4 linked regions of the Saccharomyces cerevisiae S288C genome follow. The gene in region 1 interacts genetically with each later gene. Each region holds a gene or a part of one and is shown in the gene's direction. Other genes may lie near its edges.

The links.
Region 2: mutations in ATG16 (region 1) and MUP1 together harm fitness more than expected from each alone (negative genetic interaction), as found in Saccharomyces cerevisiae (2 studies listed by BioGRID).
Region 3: mutations in ATG16 (region 1) and YOL057W together harm fitness more than expected from each alone (negative genetic interaction), as found in Saccharomyces cerevisiae (2 studies listed by BioGRID).
Region 4: of ATG16 (region 1) and ATG15, changing one suppresses a phenotype caused by changing the other (phenotypic suppression), as found in Saccharomyces cerevisiae (one study listed by BioGRID).

Annotation. Positions count from the first base shown.
Region 1 is NC_001145.3:573,513-577,586, reverse strand, and holds ATG16 (Atg16p), read left to right. Parts: upstream 1-2,658; coding exon 2,659-3,111; downstream 3,112-4,074. Other genes in the region: CVM1 (Cvm1p), read right to left, coding at 71-2,521. UniProt on the Saccharomyces cerevisiae protein: Stabilizes the ATG5-ATG12 conjugate and mediates the formation of the 350 kDa complex, which is necessary for autophagy.
Region 2 is NC_001139.9:597,002-602,320, forward strand, and holds MUP1 (Mup1p), read left to right. Parts: upstream 1-2,415; coding exon 2,416-4,140; downstream 4,141-5,319. Other genes in the region: YGR054W (translation initiation factor 2A), read left to right, coding at 1-1,620; RSC subunit protein RSC1, read left to right, coding at 4,660-5,319. UniProt on the Saccharomyces cerevisiae protein: High affinity permease for methionine.
Region 3 is NC_001147.6:219,017-224,229, forward strand, and holds YOL057W (dipeptidyl-peptidase III), read left to right. Parts: upstream 1-1,750; coding exon 1,751-3,886; downstream 3,887-5,213. Other genes in the region: ARG1 (argininosuccinate synthase), read left to right, coding at 195-1,457; phosphoglycerate mutase family protein GPM3, read left to right, coding at 4,252-5,163.
Region 4 is NC_001135.5:234,678-239,641, forward strand, and holds ATG15 (triglyceride lipase ATG15), read left to right. Parts: upstream 1-2,536; coding exon 2,537-4,099; downstream 4,100-4,964. Other genes in the region: GTPase-activating protein SED4, read right to left, coding at 1-1,645; peptidylprolyl isomerase family protein CPR4, read left to right, coding at 4,378-4,964. UniProt on the Saccharomyces cerevisiae protein: Lipase which is essential for lysis of subvacuolar cytoplasm to vacuole targeted bodies and intravacuolar autophagic bodies. Involved in the lysis of intravacuolar multivesicular body (MVB) vesicles.

The DNA of each region.
Region 1 (4,074 bases):
AGCCTACTCTGCGGGTTACCCACTATACAAATACCATAATATGTTACGCGGTCCGCTATATACGAATCTACTATGTACGTCGAACATCATTAATCAAGTTTTTGGGGTTGTCATACATGGCTAAAACGCTCAGGATATCACGTAGGTGTTTCAAACCCCTTGTTGGTGGAGACCAATCCTGGTAAGTTCGCCAAATCTCTGTTAATCTTCTCAAAGCTTCCACGGTGTCCCTCTGAAAAACAGGGCCAGAAGTACTCGTGGTACTATCCAAGAAGCAGTTTAATGAGATGGAGAGCCTCAACGCATGTGGTATCTCTCGCTGCGGTAAATTTTTCAATTGAATCAATTTGGAGAAGGAATCATGAATTTTCCATACCAAATCATATTGATTGACAGTATTCAATATGCTTGTAGGAGTGTCGAGGTCGATGTTTAAACGTAAATGCTTACGACTTAATGGGTTTTTCGTGAATATTGTATTGTACAGAAAGCATTTATAGACTTTATCGTCATCATAAATGTCTGAATATATCCTTACGAAATCCGAAGATTTTTCGTTTTGATACTGCACAAACTGCAAAAAATCCTTTACCGTAGAAATATTCTCTGGCAATAATGATTCCGATGATGAACCGAGACTTTCACCCTCCCTTTGGTCGTAATTGAGTTGATGACCATTCATTTTCCACTTACTGTCCATTTCTTGAAGCCAGATTTTGTTGCTGTTCTGGTACTGTTTCCTAATATTTGGAGGCAATGTGTAATCATTAAATGACCTTGAAATAAAAAAAGGACTTAGTAAATTAATTATGGGAATAAATTGTTTATATCCTAAATTCTCCGTTATCATCAAAATATCCCATAAGGTTATTTCGAAAAGTCTGTTGGTGGGAATCTTCAATCTCGATTCAAAATTAGGGGTCCTTACATGGACGTCATTAATGTTACTAGTTGCTTCATCATCGGTATCAAGGTTTAAATTATTAGCATTCTTTAAATCAATGCCCATGTACTTCCCATTGCACCATAAATTTCTCAAGATTTTAGGGTGATTATAATCTATAGCAAGTTTTTCTGAAATTGTCATAAAATTATCATAAAGCTTACCAAAAAATGTCAGTCGAAACGTATCCCAATTGAACAAGAGCCAATCCAATGCATCCTGAACTAGTTTAGATTCACTAGAATCTATCCGCCTATAATTTTTGATTTTAGATAATGTGTCTTGTTGCTTTTTGTCAATGCCCTGAAATAACTGTTTTTCTTTGATTTGTTGGCTCTTCGTTGTGAAATCATTATTTGAATCATGATCATTACTATCATTTTCGTTAGTACTGGAATTGGAACCCAAGTTATTATAACTATTGCTAGTAAAGTCAGTGCTGTGGTCCCAAAATCGATAGCCTTGTAAACATGACTGGAAACTCAATACACTCACTGTAGTGTTTTCATCAAACTCTAGAACTTCATTATTTTGCACGATATATTTCGCTAATAGCAAAGTTAAGGGAACGCTGTGATAAACGCCCACAAAAAAAATTGAATCTACCTCTTTGAAAAGATGAGCCCAGTGGTTCAGTAACTCTACACATTCTTTATATGTAGGTATTAAATCTTGATTATGCAGTGGGCACTGGAACGATAGGGTCAAGACTCTTTGAGGTTGTTCTTGCGCTAGATTTTGTGACAATTTTCTAGAAAGATAATAAGCCGATCTTTGTGATTCTAATGAGCGCTGCTCATACTTTTCTGGTAAATCCCCCACGACGGATATTATAATAATTCTCTTATCCTTCAGTAATGCGGTTTTTTTTTGTCTTAAATAGAGATGTTGCTCATTAGGGAAGTTATAGTAATTTTTGATAGTATTCAATACCTTAGTTCTTAGTGGTTGGACGTGCAGAAAATTCAAAGGGTTATCTGATGGTAGGATTAAAGAATCATTAATAAATACATTATACCCAGGGTTACCTCCCTCCCCAGGATATTTGTTTAATGGCAATGGGCATTTGGCTGATCCTGTACCAGAGACACTGATTATTCCTGGGGTATCTATGGAATCAATTATGTTTGATGAATTTGATATATGTGGAATTGCTTCGTACCAACACCATGATTTCGACTTTTTTGAAATTATATCCTTAGCCTCATTTTCCAAGAAGTTGATTTGTTCAGTGTTTAGTTGAGAGTAGCGGGTATTATCATCAACAACAATTGGGGCACTTCTATATCTGGATGTTGCAAAAGAAGCGATTTTAGACCATATCCCTTTATTGTCATTATTCGAGTTCACGCTATCTTGAAAATCCGTTGTCGGACTACTCCTTCCTTGTCCATTAGGATATTCTGCAATTCTTCCCGTGTTTGGCTCATCGTCGGCAGTGGAATTCCACCAGGGTTTCCATCTGTTTTGTTGTCGTGGACGTTGGGGTGGGACTTCCTGCTGGTCCTCTCGTATCTGCTGCTGCTCTTGTGTTTGATGCTGCAACTGTTTATCCTGTTTCTGCTGCACAACATCCATTATAATAGCGTTTTATATGTTGTGCTAAATTGCTACTACACTTGCTCGCTTTTACTTATTCTGTTTGTAGTTGACCTTTATTTAACGTTGATTTTTGTTATTAACCTGCGCGAATCTGTATTAAGGGCGCATATTCCATGGGCAATTTCATTATAACAGAAAGGAAGAAAGCAAAGGAGGAAAGAAGCAATCCACAAACAGATAGCATGGATGATTTGTTAATTCGTAGACTAACAGATCGAAACGACAAGGAGGCCCATTTAAATGAGTTGTTTCAAGATAATAGTGGCGCCATTGGTGGCAACATTGTCAGCCATGACGATGCTTTATTGAATACACTGGCAATTCTACAAAAAGAACTGAAAAGTAAGGAGCAAGAAATACGAAGATTGAAAGAAGTTATTGCGTTGAAAAATAAGAATACGGAAAGGTTGAATGACGAATTGATTAGTGGAACCATTGAAAATAATGTTTTACAACAAAAACTCTCGGATCTGAAAAAAGAACATTCCCAGCTAGTTGCGAGATGGCTAAAAAAGACAGAGAAAGAGACAGAAGCCATGAACAGCGAAATAGATGGAACGAAATGATGCATCAGTTGTCAAATCGTCACAAAATGCATACAAAAGAAAATAAAATCATTGTGGTGCATATACATGGACAGAATATGAAACGCCAAAGTGTTTGCAATAAAGAGGTGAAAATATGTTAAACATGCTATAGAGAGTACACCTGCAAGTTAAGAAAATGCCATTCGTGTTTTTATCTACTATAATGTAATGTGACAGCTGTTTTAAACCTTTCTTAAGGTCGTTTGTGCGAGAACAGGCTTTTTTTTTGGAGAATGTATCTTGAGAGAAACTCAATAGTAATAACTGGATGCATAAAGAAAATTTCATATGAATCACTACAAATCTTTGGCGTTAGAATTCTATTGGGTAAATTGAACTTTGTAGCTTTTTGATGGTAAACTTGGCGGTTTTGCGCGACCCATGATCCTAAGAAACCCGCAGTTTCTATTAGGATTCACGATGGTCTTTATCTCACCTTCTATTATGTGTAAGTTGAAATGCCCCTTGCTGTTCTTATAGCAGAAAGCTTTTTTTTTCATTTATAGGACTAGCATTTTGGCATTGGAAGGGAAAAAATCATGCTTTCATTGAAAAATGAAAAGAAACATATCGTTATTTTGTGGGAACACTGAAGTATAATTTTTTGTTTCGGAAATTTACCATTGCATAGTGGGTATTTTCATCGAAAGTTGGCTAAAGAATGCATGCGGCCTGTTCATTCTGGTTATGAGCATTTCAATTGGTTAGTATATTGGCGTGAGTGGAAAGAATAGTGGATAAAAACTAAGAGACCCGTTCATTCTCCTGATACGATCTTGCGGTAAACCTTATATTTTTGGGGAGGGTACTGTAATATCTCATAACTCCGCGTATTATTGTGGATGTAACTTGTTGCTGATCCTCTCGCTGAGGCCATCATTATACGTGAGTCGAAGGATGGCCGAAATTTTATGATACTACACCGAAATTAAACCGTCGTCT
Region 2 (5,319 bases), on another chromosome or scaffold:
GTTTGGTATTTGAATAAACCATTTAAGAAAGATTGCGTTTCGGAGGATATAGTCCCTGCTTACGAATATCAAGCCAAATCCCAAAGCGGTTGGTTTTTACAATTCTCCAAATTAGACAATTATGGGCTAAGACTTTTTAAACACGACTTGAAGATTGTTAAATTAAGCTCCGCTAATGCCGACAATTTCGACTTCCAATCTCCGTTTGCTGTCTTGTCTGATGATGAAACGTCCCAACATTTCACCACCTACCTAATCTCTCCAGCTGAACATCCAACAATTTGTACTTTCACACCAGAAAAGGGTGGTAAACCGGCTCAATTAATCATATGGGCCCTCTCTGAAGGTAAAATCACCAAGAAAATTGCCTCCAAAACTTTCTTTAAAGCTGATTCCTGCCAATTGAAATGGAATCCATTAGGTAATGCTATTTTATGTTTAGCTATTACTGATTTTGATTCCTCAAACAAATCATATTATGGTGAAAACACACTATACTTACTGTCTTTCCAAGGTGTCAACGGGACTTTGGGTGGTAACTCTGTACGTGTTTCTTTAACCACTGGACCTGTCCACGATTTCACTTGGTCGCCAACTTCAAGGCAATTCGGTGTCATCGCTGGTTACATGCCAGCAACCATTTCCTTTTTTGACTTAAGAGGTAATGTTGTCCATTCATTACCTCAACAAGCCAAAAATACCATGCTTTTCTCTCCCTCTGGTCATTACATTCTTATCGCCGGGTTTGGTAATTTACAGGGCTCCGTGGAAATCCTAGATCGTCTCGACAAATTCAAGTGTGTGAGTAAATTTGACGCTACCAACACTTCTGTCTGCAAATGGTCACCGGGTGGAGAATTTATCATGACAGCTACCACTTCACCAAGATTGAGAGTGGATAACGGCGTTAAAATATGGCATGTATCAGGCTCTTTAGTATTTGTTAAAGAGTTCAAGGAGCTTTTGAAGGTAGACTGGAGGTCACCATGTAATTACAAAACTTTGGAAAACAAAGACGAAGCATTTTTCGAGAACCATATCATTAATAACTGGGAACCGCTACCTGATTCGACCACATCTTCACTTGATCCTAAAATATCCAATAAATCAGAATTGCAAATACATTCTAGCGTTCAAGAGTACATAAGTCAACACCCAAGCAGAGAAGCAAGCTCCAATGGAAACGGATCTAAGGCCAAAGCTGGAGGCGCTTATAAACCACCTCACGCAAGAAGAACAGGCGGTGGACGTATTGTCCCCGGAGTTCCTCCTGGTGCAGCAAAGAAGACCATCCCAGGGCTAGTTCCGGGCATGAGTGCCAACAAGGACGCCAACACCAAGAACAGGAGAAGAAGAGCCAATAAAAAGTCAAGTGAAACGTCACCTGATTCTACTCCGGCCCCATCTGCTCCTGCCTCCACAAATGCCCCCACAAACAATAAAGAAACTTCTCCAGAGGAGAAGAAAATAAGATCTTTACTAAAGAAATTAAGGGCTATTGAAACCTTGAAGGAAAGACAGGCCGTCGGTGACAAACTAGAAGATACGCAAGTTCTAAAAATTCAAACTGAAGAAAAAGTGTTGAAAGATTTGGAAAAGTTGGGTTGGAAGGATGAATAAACTAGAAGAAACTGATGTATCCATACAACTGTGTAAATATTAACAACGTCAAATAATACTACTTTGAATTGTTTTTTACTGTTTCCCAGGAGAATTACGCCAACCTCCCCCCTTTCTTTTTTTCCCTTGTTTTATTGTACTTTTCCACATATTTTTTTAACATCAAATAGTAATTGATACATACATAATTAGTGAGCATTTTCCTTATTTTTACGTCTCTTCTTGGCGGATTGCCACCAGCCGCATCTTACAATGTATGCCACGATACCGCCAGGCAATAAATGAATATGGAGTGTCACTTCGGCTCCGTAAGCCGGCGCTGCATCCGCCACCACAGTTTTTTTTAGCGTCGCTGTCGCCGCTTTGCCACAGAAAAAGAAAAAAAAAAAAGAAACGGCGCCGTGTAGGGTTTTGTATAACAGATCGGCCTAGCAGCCAGGAGATGGCACGGCGCCAACTGAAAAGTTAGACTGTGGAATTGCCGTTCACCACACTCGAGTGGCATCTAATAAACTGCCACAGTTGACTCAAGCGGTGCTACCTTCGCAGTTATTGCACACCATGGTAACACATAACACAGTCTTGCATTACAAATGTGGTTCCTCCTACTTGGCGGTGAATTTCTTGAGTCAGCCCGTTATTTTCATATGGTGATGTAAGATTACATACAGTATATATATATAAGGATGATTCTCACACAAACTTTTCCGCTGTTCATCATATTTTGTTTTTGGATTAGTTTCACATTCTGTAGAAATCTTTAAAGACAAGAGAAGAGAAAACAAAGGCGGAGCAATGTCGGAAGGAAGAACGTTTCTGTCACAGTTGAATGTCTTCAACAAGGAGAACTATCAATTTTCTTCTTCTACTACAAAAAAGGAAGTAAGTAACTCGACAGTGGATGCTGACAACGGTGCCTCCGATTTTGAGGCAGGCCAGCAATTTGCTACAGAATTGGACCAAGGTGAAAAGCAGTTAGGTATTTTGTCGTGTATTGGGCTTATCTGTAATAGAATGCTTGGTACCGGTGTTTTCGCCGTTTCCTCGACCATTTACACACTATGTGGGTCTGTGGGGCTTGCATTAATTATGTGGGCAGTTGGCGCCATTATTGCCATTTCTGGGTTATATGTATACATGGAATTCGGTACGGCTATACCGAAAAATGGTGGTGAAAAAAACTACCTGGAGGCTATTTTCAGGAAACCAAAATTCTTCATTACCTGTATGTATGCTGCGTATATTTTCTTCCTAGGTTGGGCTGCTGGTAATTCCATCAATACAGCTATTATGTTTTTAACTGCTGCTGATACTGAAGTGACCAAATGGAATCAAAGAGGTATTGGTGTGGCCGTCGTTTTTTTTGCATTCCTAATTAATTCTCTGAATGTCAAGATTGGTCTATATTTGCAAAACATTTTAGGTATTTTCAAGATTGGTATTGTCCTCTTCATTTCTATTACCGGTTGGGTTGCCCTTGGCGGTGGTCTCAAAGATGGTTATCAATCTCACAACTTTCGTAATGCTTTTGAAGGTACTGAAACCGCCACTGCTTATGGTATTGTTAACGCCTTATATAGTGTTATTTGGTCGTTTGTCGGTTACTCCAATGTTAACTATGCACTTGGTGAAGTTAAGAACCCTGTGAGAACTTTGAAGATTGCTGGTCCTACATCGATGGTCTTCTTGGCTATAATCTACATTTTTGTGAACATTGCTTACTTCGCTGTGGTTCCAAAAGATAAGTTAATTTCTTCAAAATTGATTTTAGCTGCTGACTTCTTCGATATTGTGTTTGGCGGCCAAGCCAAGAGAGCAGCAGCCGCACTGGTCGGGTTGAGTGCCTTAGGAAATGTTCTTTCTGTCATTTTTTCTCAGGGTAGAATTATTCAACAACTAGGACGTGAAGGTGTGTTGCCCTTTTCTAATTTCTTTGCCTCTTCTAAGCCATTCAACTCCCCAATGGTTGGTTTGTTTCAACATTTTATTGTTTGTACAGTAACCATTTTAGCCCCACCTCCAGGTGATGCATATTTGCTAGTCCAAAATTTAATTTCCTACCCAATGAATATTATTAATTTTGCCATTAGCGCGGGTTTGCTTTGGATATACTGGCAACGTAGACAAGGTAAAATTGAATGGAACCCACCAATTAAGGCCGGTGTTTTTGTTACGGGATTTTTCACATTATCCAATTTATACCTGATTATTGCTCCTTACGTTCCACCTTCAAATGGCGAGTCGGTGTATTCAAGCATGCCATACTGGATCCACTGTGTAATTGCTTGGGGTATTTTCTTCTTTGGTGGTGTTTACTACGTTGTTTGGGCCCAATTATTGCCAAGATGGGGCCACTACAAATTGGTTTCCAAGGATGTGCTTGGTGAAGATGGGTTCTGGAGAGTCAAAATTGCCAAAGTTTATGATGACACTATTGGCGATGTCGATACACAAGAAGACGGCGTTATTGAAACGAATATAATCGAACATTACAAAAGTGAACAAGAAAAATCGCTGTAACCAAAAAGGTACTTACCATCTCATCTCGATTCTTATAATCACGTATGAACATTCTTATAATTGCATTTTCTTTATACAAAATATATAGGTACCAAACCTCATTATAATTTCTGCCATTTAATAGTTTAAGATGCTATTCCGTTTCGTATTTTTTCAATTTTTATACCTACTATTGCGCGAAATCAAAATAGCATACTAAGAAAAAGCAATATCATGAATTGCTGATGAGATAGATTCAAATTGGAATTAACTAAATCTATCAGCAACGCTATAAACACAGATAAGCGCTCTATAAAATCGTTTGTCTAACGTTTTATATAGTTCTTTATTGCTCCCTTACCCTCTTTCCGTCAATAGTGATTGTTGTCTCGGGAAAGCTTTTTTTTTTATTAATCAAAGGCCCAATTGAGTTACAACTGAAATTAAGCTGAGTTGGCGGAACAGTGTGGTATTAGCGAAGGGAAAATCTGTGAAGTGCCCTAGCTACAAAACAGAGATAAAAAAAATTATATTTCAAGCATGGTGGAGCAAGATAATGGGTTTTTACAGAAGCTACTCAAAACACAATACGATGCTGTCTTCCATTTAAAGGATGAAAATGGTATAGAAATATATCCAATATTCAATGTACTGCCACCTAAAAAAGAATATCCAGACTATTACATTATAATAAGGAATCCGATATCTTTAAACACTTTAAAGAAACGATTGCCCCATTATACATCGCCACAAGATTTTGTTAACGATTTTGCGCAAATTCCTTGGAATGCAATGACATACAATGCAAAAGATTCAGTAATTTACAAATATGCCATTCTTCTTGAGTCTTTTATTAAAGGAAAGATCGTGCACAATATAAGAAAACATTATCCCGAGGTGACATATCCATCTCTAGGTCGAATTCCGGAAATATTCGCAGAGAGTATGCAACCCTCCGATTTATCCTCGAACCCCATTAATACACAGGAAAATGATGAAAAGGCTGGCTTAAATCCAGAGATGAAAATGGCTTTCGCAAAACTAGATAGTTCGATCACTGAAAGGAAACCAACCAACCAAGATTACAGGATGCAACAAAAAAACTCACCAGCGTTTCCAACCCATTCTGCTTCTATAACACCGCAGCCGCTGGCTTCACCTACTCCAGTTGTTAACTATGCAAATATTACCTCGGCGCAT
Region 3 (5,213 bases), on another chromosome or scaffold:
TCTGAGCAGTTGCGAGACCCAGACTGGCACTGTCTCAATAGTATATTAATGGGCATACATTCGTACTCCCTTGTTCTTGCCCACAGTTCTCTCTCTCTTTACTTCTTGTATCTTGTCTCCCCATTGTGCAGCGATAAGGAACATTGTTCTAATATACACGGATACAAAAGAAATACACATAATTGCATAAAATAATGTCTAAGGGAAAAGTTTGTTTGGCTTATTCTGGTGGTTTAGATACCTCCGTCATTTTGGCTTGGCTACTAGACCAAGGCTACGAAGTTGTAGCTTTCATGGCTAATGTAGGGCAAGAAGAAGATTTCGATGCCGCCAAGGAAAAGGCCTTGAAGATCGGTGCCTGCAAGTTCGTTTGTGTGGATTGTCGTGAAGATTTTGTCAAGGATATTCTATTCCCAGCTGTACAGGTCAACGCTGTGTACGAAGACGTTTATCTGTTGGGTACCTCTTTGGCAAGACCTGTTATTGCCAAAGCCCAAATTGACGTCGCTAAACAGGAGGGCTGTTTCGCGGTCTCTCATGGTTGTACCGGTAAAGGTAATGATCAAATCAGATTCGAATTGTCATTTTACGCTCTGAAGCCAGACGTTAAGTGTATTACACCATGGAGAATGCCTGAATTTTTCGAAAGATTTGCTGGCAGAAAGGATTTGTTAGACTATGCTGCACAAAAGGGTATTCCCGTCGCCCAAACCAAGGCCAAGCCATGGTCTACTGACGAAAACCAAGCCCACATTTCTTACGAGGCAGGTATCTTGGAAGACCCAGATACCACCCCACCAAAGGACATGTGGAAATTGATCGTCGATCCAATGGATGCTCCGGACCAACCACAAGATTTGACCATTGACTTTGAACGTGGTCTTCCAGTCAAGTTGACCTACACCGACAACAAGACTTCCAAGGAAGTTTCCGTTACCAAGCCTTTGGATGTTTTCTTGGCCGCATCCAACTTAGCAAGGGCCAACGGTGTTGGTAGAATCGATATTGTAGAAGATCGTTACATTAACTTGAAATCCAGAGGTTGTTACGAACAGGCTCCATTGACTGTTTTGAGAAAAGCTCATGTTGATTTGGAAGGTTTGACTTTAGACAAAGAAGTCCGTCAATTGAGAGACTCATTCGTCACACCAAACTACTCCAGATTGATATATAACGGTTCCTACTTCACCCCAGAGTGTGAGTACATCAGATCTATGATCCAACCATCCCAAAATAGCGTTAACGGTACTGTCAGGGTTAGACTGTATAAGGGTAACGTCATCATTCTGGGCAGATCTACAAAGACTGAAAAGTTGTACGATCCGACAGAATCCTCTATGGATGAGTTGACCGGTTTCTTACCTACCGATACCACCGGTTTCATTGCCATCCAGGCCATTAGAATTAAAAAATACGGTGAATCCAAAAAAACCAAAGGTGAAGAGTTGACTTTGTAAGTCCGCTAGTTCATCGCCTCAAGATAGATAACGATCTCTTCCTCCACCTCCTATTTCTGCACACTCTTGTGATGTAAATACATATGTAGACATATGTAAGCTTTTGTATAAATAGTTTAAGAAAGCATCATACCAATTTTGAATAGAAGAAAAAATAGCTAAGAGCATAGCCGCTCGGAATAAGTTGACGTAGCGAAAAATCCCAATATCGTAAAGGAAAAATACCTTCATGAGAACAGAACATTGAAAAGAAGAAAAAAAAAACTGAGCACTGCACCATTAAGTCCTCAAAGATGAGCCACTTTTTCGCCGATCATGATGCTCCTCTGAGCATGCTTTCTGTTAAAACAGAATACTTTCCTCAATTGACTGATAAGGAACAAAAATATGCGCATTTCATGTCAAAGGCCTCCCATGCGGGTTCAAGGGTTGTAATGAGACAAGTTTCTCATGAGAGTGAGCCAATTTTTGACCTAATCCTTGCCATTCATTCAAAGCTAAACGGCAAGTACCCAGAGGACGATATTACGCAGAAGCAGCAAACGGGTTTGTATTTGGAATACGTTTCTCAATTCTTATCTAATTTGGGTAATTTCAAATCGTTTGGTGACACTAAGTTTATTCCTCGTTGTGAGGTAAAATTCTTCAAACAGCTTTTGGAGCTGGCCAAGATTAATCCGTGTTCTTCTCCGCTCACTTTATCTCCTGTTGACGTTAACCATGAATTCACATCTCATCATCTTTTTTCCACCATCAATGAGCTAATTGATATTGGTATTTACCATGTGGAAGAGAAGGCGGCTCTCTTAGGGTTTCCCTCTCAAGGTTATACTTCAGCCTATTATCTGGGTTTACCTGTGACACCTGAAGATATGGCTCTTTTGAAAGAGCAGTTGTTTGCTGAACTTGCCATCTTGCCTGAAAACACAAGAATCAACAAAGTTGGTGAAAACAGTTTCCAAATCTGGGTTGCCTCTGAGAATGTGAAAAACCAGATAACAGAAACCTACCCCAGTGGACAGATCACATTATCCAATGCTGTAACCAAAGTAGAATTCATTTTTGGTGATCATTCACGTGAAATGCGTTTAGTAGCATCGTATTTAAAGGAAGCTCAAAAATTCGCGGCTAATGATACTCAAAAAGCAATGCTTCAGGAATACATCAACCACTTTGTCACTGGCTCTTCTCAAGCACATAAAGAAGCACAAAAACTTTGGGTCAAAGATATATCTCCCGTCATTGAAACAAATATCGGTTTTATCGAAACATATAGAGAACCCTCGGGCATAATTGGAGAATTTGAATCGTTGGTTGCAATTCAAAACAAAGAACGTACTGCTAAATTTTCCAGCTTGGTTAACAACGCAGAAGAATTCATTTCCTTACTACCATGGTCTAAAGATTACGAAAAACCGATTTTCAATCCACCAGATTTCACCTCTCTAGAAGTATTAACGTTTACTGGATCGGGTATACCAGCGGGCATCAATATTCCAAACTATGATGATGTTCGGCTTAAAATTGGGTTCAAGAATGTTTCTTTGGGGAATATCTTAAGCGCGGCTGCCAAAAGCTCATCCAAGCATCCGCCAAGTTTTATATCGCAAGAAGATCGCCCAATTTTTGAAAAATATCAAAGTGATTCTTTTGAAGTCCAAGTAGGCATCCATGAATTATTAGGACATGGTTCAGGAAAGTTGTTGACAGAATTTACAGACGGCTTTAATTTTGATAAGGAAAACCCTCCTTTAGGTTTGGATGGGAAACCGGTGAGCACATACTACAAAGTTGGTGAAACTTGGGGTTCCAAATTTGGACAGTTAGCTGGCCCATTTGAAGAATGTCGTGCGGAAGTAATTGCCATGTTTTTGCTTACTAATAAGAAGATTCTTGATATTTTTGGTTTCCATGATGTCGAATCTCAAGATAAAGTGATCTACGCTGGATATCTACAAATGGCCCGTGCGGGTCTCCTAGCTTTAGAATACTGGAATCCAAAAACTGGTAAGTGGGGACAACCACACATGCAAGCAAGATTTTCTATCATGAAAACATTTATGAAGCACTCTACAGATAAGAATTTCTTAAAGTTGGAGATGAACAGCACGAATGATGATTTTGCCATCAAGTTGGATAAATCTCTCATTAAAACAGCGGGACATGAATGTGTGAAAGACTATTTAAAGCATTTGCATGTTTACAAATGTTCAGGCGATGTGGAACAGGGAAGTAAGTACTTTATTGATAGATCAACGGTGACACCGGATTTGGCGTCTTTAAGAGACATCGTCTTATCTAAGAGATTGCCAAGGAGACAATTCATACAATCGAATTCTTATATTGACGACAATAACAAGGTAACCCTGAAAGAATATGATGAAACCCCACAGGGTATGCTCCAATCTTTCCTTGATAGAGAATTATGATGTCCTTAAGAGCACACGTTTTAATTAGCAACCTTTGCTGTTGCTTTTGTTCAAGCTATTAGATTATGTAAACAGATATATATTATGTAAGTGTGACAGGATACGACAGCACTAACTGTCAGCGAATTTTGATTTGTTACTTTTGCTAGTTTTGTGTGACTTTCCTTTGTTTTTTAACTTTTTTTTTCAGATTTGTATTATGAGATGATAACAATGCGAGATTTCATTGACAAGTTCGATAAAACAATAGAAGCTTCCATTTTATACATATGTGATAAAACAACCTGCAATCGAGGATTTACAATAAAAGTCTCTTTGAGAGGATTGAGAAATAGTGCAAAAAGATCTACTAATAACGAATAGTTATGACTGTTACTGACACTTTTAAACTGTTTATTTTAAGGCATGGTCAAAGTGAATTAAACTCAGAAAACATATTCTGCGGATGGATTGATGCTCAATTAACGGAAAAAGGGAAGTCTCAGGCCCGCCACTCTGCAAAATTGATCAAGCAGTTTTGCGATTCTAACAATATCTCTTTGCCTCAGATTGGCTATACTTCAAGGTTGATTCGAACTCAGCAGACCATGGACGTTATTCTCGAAGAGTTGGGACTAAAACACACCAATTATGTAATTACTACGAATACAAACATTAAGGAGGAGCTGCAGGACACAAGATTTGAAGGAAGTATGCCTGTGTTGCAAACCTGGAGGTTAAATGAGCGTCATTACGGCGCATGGCAAGGACAAAGAAAGCCAGATATCTTGAAAGAATACGGTAAGGAAAAATACATGTATATCAGAAGAGATTACAACGGAAAACCCCCTAAAGTCAACCTAAACCTGGAAATGGTCCAAGAGGAAAATGATCAGGGGTCCTCCACAGGCTATGATTTTAAGGAGCCCAATAGACACTTAAAATACGGCCCCGAAGAGAAGGCTAATGAGCGTCTGCCAGAAAGTGAGTCTCTTTGTGAAGTGGTCGTCAGATTGAAACCATTTTTAAATAATGTTGTTCTGTCTACCGCCAACAAAATCAGTCAAGAATCGTGTGTTATAGTTGGGCATGGCAGCTCTGTAAGATCTCTGCTGAAAGTATTGGAAGGTATCTCAGATGAAGACATCAAAGATGTCGATATTCCCAACGGCATTCCGCTAGTTATAGAGTTGGATAGAGACAATTACTCTTTTGTGAGGAAATTTTACTTGGATCCAGAATCAGCTAAAGTTAATGCTCAAATGGTTCGTGATGAGGGTTTCGAAAAGAATCCATGAATAGTTTTTAAAAATAAAAAATTAGCGCCATTTTTTTCATGGTTTCCTTT
Region 4 (4,964 bases), on another chromosome or scaffold:
CTATTAACGAGGACAATTTCTCCTCCAAGTCAGGAGTCGGCTCAGGATATTCTGTGATAGAATTTGAAGATGAGGATAACAAATCTATCGACTCTGAATTCAGTGGAAGCGATGGTTTTTCGACAATATTCGGTTCTGTAGGAGAGGCTAGCGGCTTCGTAATTTCAGAGGTAGGTGAAGACACAATTGGTTCATTAGTGACACTCTCTTCATAGAAAGAAGAAGAAGAAGAAGAAGAAGAAGAAGAAGCTGATGTTGGGATATCTGCAGAAGTGAATTGTGAATCAGCTGATGACGATATCCAAACAAATTTTTGCTCATCTTCTGTGGTGGTTCTCATAGTGCTAGTGTCAAATGAGGAAAATTCAGTCTCTATATCGCTAGCAACATCTGTAGCGCTGATGATATCTGCACTTTCAGTAATGCCTCTGTAATCGTCATTAATAGTGAAATAAGAAGAAGATCCTTGGTCTATGGTAGTGTTTTCCTTGAATTTCGACTTATATATATCATGAGCATGTTTGTAAATAAAGCCGTGCACATTATGTTTGTAGCCTAGTTGAATAGCGCCAGCCAAAACCACTAACAAAACAAAATTCAAGAAAAATTTCCAAATATTTCGTAAAATTGATGACGATGTACCGGAAAGCTTCAGAACGTTGATCGTGTTCCCCATAGAAGTGCTTGCCAAATATCTAGAATCTGGAGAAAAAGTAACTTTTGTTATAGTAGATTCATGTACTCTTGGAACCAACTGAACAAGCTTTAGCTTTTCAACGCTGACGATGGCAACCAAGTTATCGTTAGATGATAATGCAACGAACTTCTTATTTGGGGAGACATCCATCGATGTTATTCCATTCAAATCGAACATGAAGGATGCTGTTTTTAAAATTTTAACACCTTTGGAACTCACACCTAGTTTTAACAAGGAAACTCCATCAGAGTTCGATAATGATGCTGCCACTAATAGCGTATTGTCATTGAGAAACCTGATATTAGAAAGAACAAGATTTTTATCAAAATCCGTTTTCCTTGCTACAAAATTTCCGTCCCTAACAGACGCTACTTCCAAAGAATTAGAAGTGATATATGACAAAAGAATACCGTTAGGGGCGAAGTGCAAATCATTAACTTCCCTACCCGTTTCAATTTCGTAATTTTCCGTCAAATTACGCGGGTCAATGATTCTTATCACAGTGGGCACTTCAGAGGACGCAATTGCAGCTACTGTGGCCCTTTGATTAATGTAAACAAACTTAGTGAAAACGGATGGGTCTGTAGTTCTGTTGAAATCAATACTGGCCACGAATTTTAGATGTTCTTGTTCAAACACAAACTTCCTCAAGTGGTGGTTAACGTTCTCCATGGAGGAATCATTAAACAGTTCATTGCAACCAACTAGAATCAGGTTATTATTACAATCCAATGAAGTGGGCGCATCGTCAATCGAATCTAATGTGATCTCACGAAACCTTCTAATGTGTTTCTTTTTCTGGAAGTTCACCTTTAAAGCTGTAATTTTGTTTGGAAACGAGGAATTGAACTGGCCTCCACCACCAGCCACCAGTAGAGTGCCTTCATTTATAAATTTAGCACCATATATCGGATATCCGACGTCATAGTTTGCAGAGTTGCCACTCATTATTATGCTAGTTTTTCTAAGTTTAAAAGGAGAGAAAAAAAAGGAAGAGAGGACGTATCGTAGGGAATTGTGATGCTTGTTGACAAACAGCCTCCGTCGATCGAAGCAGCTATAAGCGTAGGTTACTTGAAGCGTTCACAGTTCTCATTTACACTGTACAATTCTCGAGATATAAATGAAAATTACTACAACCAAGAAAAAAGGACAGGAGGGCTAAAAGGATAATAAAATAGGGCAGTTACAAATGTGGTCAAAAATACTAGGGCTCAAAATTGCTAAGTAAGGGCTTGACAGATGTAACATAATACGAAATAAACTGGATATCGTTTAATAATTATCAAGGTGATTTAAATCGTAAATACATAGGCTGGGCCATATACACTAACATGTGTCGTGACCAATGTGCAGCAGATAGACTTGCTCATTAAATATATTCCAGGTAGGATTCTCTAAGGGTTTTTTTTTTTCTCTATAGCTGTCACTTTTTTTTTTTTCTCTTATCAATCACAGATATAATAAGCATAACATCGGAAAGAAAATAATGATAGGGCAAAAGGGAAAGCATTTCCAGTTGAATACAGTATCTCTACTATATTGTTGTTCGCTGAAGACAGCCGTTTCCGGAAAAAAGTGATTGTGTGATCGCAGTTACCCGCACCTTTGTTCAACAGTACATAATAAGAATCTGTAGATATAGATGAACTTTCTCTATTACATAAGACTAGCCTAAAAGCCTTGTTTCTATCATTTAAAGGCTTTTGAGACACTCAAATCAGTGTCAACCTTTTGGATAAGTCAAAGAAAGTACGCCGCTGCTCAGAAAATTGTTATCGTGATTGAGAACTGATCTAGGCATTACAATTAAAGGAAACAAGGGAAATATTCTATTGAATGTTGCATAAAAGCCCTTCAAGAAAGAGATTTGCTTCTCCTTTGCATCTAGGATGCATTCTAACGCTTACAGTGCTCTGCCTTATTGCTTACTACTTTGCTTTACCGGATTATTTATCGGTAGGGAAGAGCTCATCCAGGGGTGCCATGGATCAAAAATCTGATGGAACCTTTAGACTTAAGTCTATCTACAGGCATGGCGTCGGAGCAAACCATCGGCTACACCAGAGGCTGGAGGTCACTCCAGAAGTTATTTCTGCCGCTGGAATGCTGTATCAAGAAACCACAACTCAAGGACAGGATTTCGAAGACCAAGAACCCCTATGGACTACTAATGCCGAATATGCCACCACTAACCCATTCGATTTTGAGTTTGAGCTACGAAGGATGCCGCTATTGATGAAGCGGATGAAGGAAAGAGATCCTGAATTCATAGAGTCGTACATTTACGGAGAAACATACATGACGGAGGAGGAAGAACACGCCATGTGGATAGATGATGACATTGTGGCACCCAATATCACAGATAGAGGTACAGTAGTGTCGTTAGCATTAATGTCGTCTAATGCTTACGTGAGAATACCGCAAACGGGAGACTGGCGTAACGTCACGGAGCCGTGGAATGAAACAGAGCCGGAAGATTTTGGTTGGGATGGTGATGGTATACGTGGTCACGTCTTTTACAATGAAGTGGAGAATATCGTGGTACTCTCGATAAAGGGAACCAGCGCTCAGGGTTTGCCAGGGTCTGGCGAAGATGAGACAACTGGAAACGACAAGATCAACGATAATTTGTTATTTTCGTGTTGTTGTGCAAGAGTGAGCTACCTGTGGACTACCGTGTGCGATTGCTATGTGAAGTCGTATATATGCGATGAGTCTTGCCTGGAAAAGGAACTGAGACGTAAGGATAGATTTTACTCTGCAGTCGTTGACATATACAAAGGCGTCCTCAAAGAATACCCCGATGCGGCCATATGGGTCACAGGCCACTCACTGGGAGGCGCATTGGCCAGTTTACTGGGCCGCACTTTTGGATTGCCTGCGGTCGCATTCGAGTCCCCTGGAGAGCTACTACCTTCAAAAAGACTTCACTTACCATTCCCACCGGGACTTCCCTCATACATGGAGGGTATCTGGCACTTCGGTCACAACGCAGACCCAATCTTCATGGGTACATGCAACGGAGCTAGTTCAAGTTGCTCACTGGTGGGCTACGCTATGGAAACCGCGTGCCACACTGGTAGAGTCTGTGTCTACGATGTGGTCAACGACAAGGGCTGGAGTGTAAACATGTTCAACCACAGAATCCACAAAGTCATTGACGAAGTTCTCCTTGGATACGAGCAGGCTGCCAAGTGCGTTGAACCAGAGCCCTGCGTAGATTGCTACAACTGGAAGTTTATTCCAAGCAGAGACTGGGAATCCTCATCGAGGCTCATTACCAAGACTAAAAGCCACGCTGCACCAACCACGACGACTCGCACCACTGCTACTACTACCTCTTCATCTACCTGTGTAGGCCGCAATTGGCTTGGCTTCTGCACCAAATACGAGTTGTAAGACCCATACATCTATTATGACCCTAGTGTTGTTTTAGGGCCTATGCGCCCTTTTTTTCTTCCATTGTCTGATAAATAATGTATCATTTTGACAACTTAAAGGTTCAGCTAAACGACACGAGAAGATATATTAATACTGCTTTAAAGTGAAAGGCGTCAGTCAGGTGCAATTAATAGGTCACATATTCTTTGCTTCAATTGCTCTCTAGCAAACTCACACACTCGTAGATTGGAAGACCGAAGAAAATAGATAGACTTTCGAATAAGTTCAGCAACAACATGTGGTTGAAATCCTTGCTGCTCTGCCTGTACTCCTTAGTACTCTGCCAAGTCCACGCTGCACCTTCATCAGGGAAGCAGATTACCTCCAAGGATGTTGATCTTCAGAAAAAATATGAGCCCAGTCCCCCCGCCACACATCGTGGAATAATCACTATCGAATACTTTGATCCCGTTTCGAAGTCGATGAAAGAGGCGGATCTGACTTTTGAGTTGTACGGTACTGTCGTGCCCAAAACTGTGAACAACTTTGCTATGCTGGCCCATGGTGTTAAGGCAGTTATCGAAGGGAAAGATCCCAATGATATACATACTTACTCGTACCGTAAGACCAAAATCAACAAGGTTTACCCTAACAAGTATATCCAGGGTGGTGTGGTTGCCCCAGATGTGGGTCCTTTCACCGTCTATGGGCCCAAATTTGATGACGAAAACTTTTACTTAAAACATGACAGGCCTGAAAGACTCGCAATGGCCTATTTTGGACCTGATTCTAACACCTCGGAATTCATCATCACCACTAAAGCCGATGGAAATGAGGAATTGGATGGCAAAAGTGTCGTGTTTGGTCAAATAACTTCTGGTCT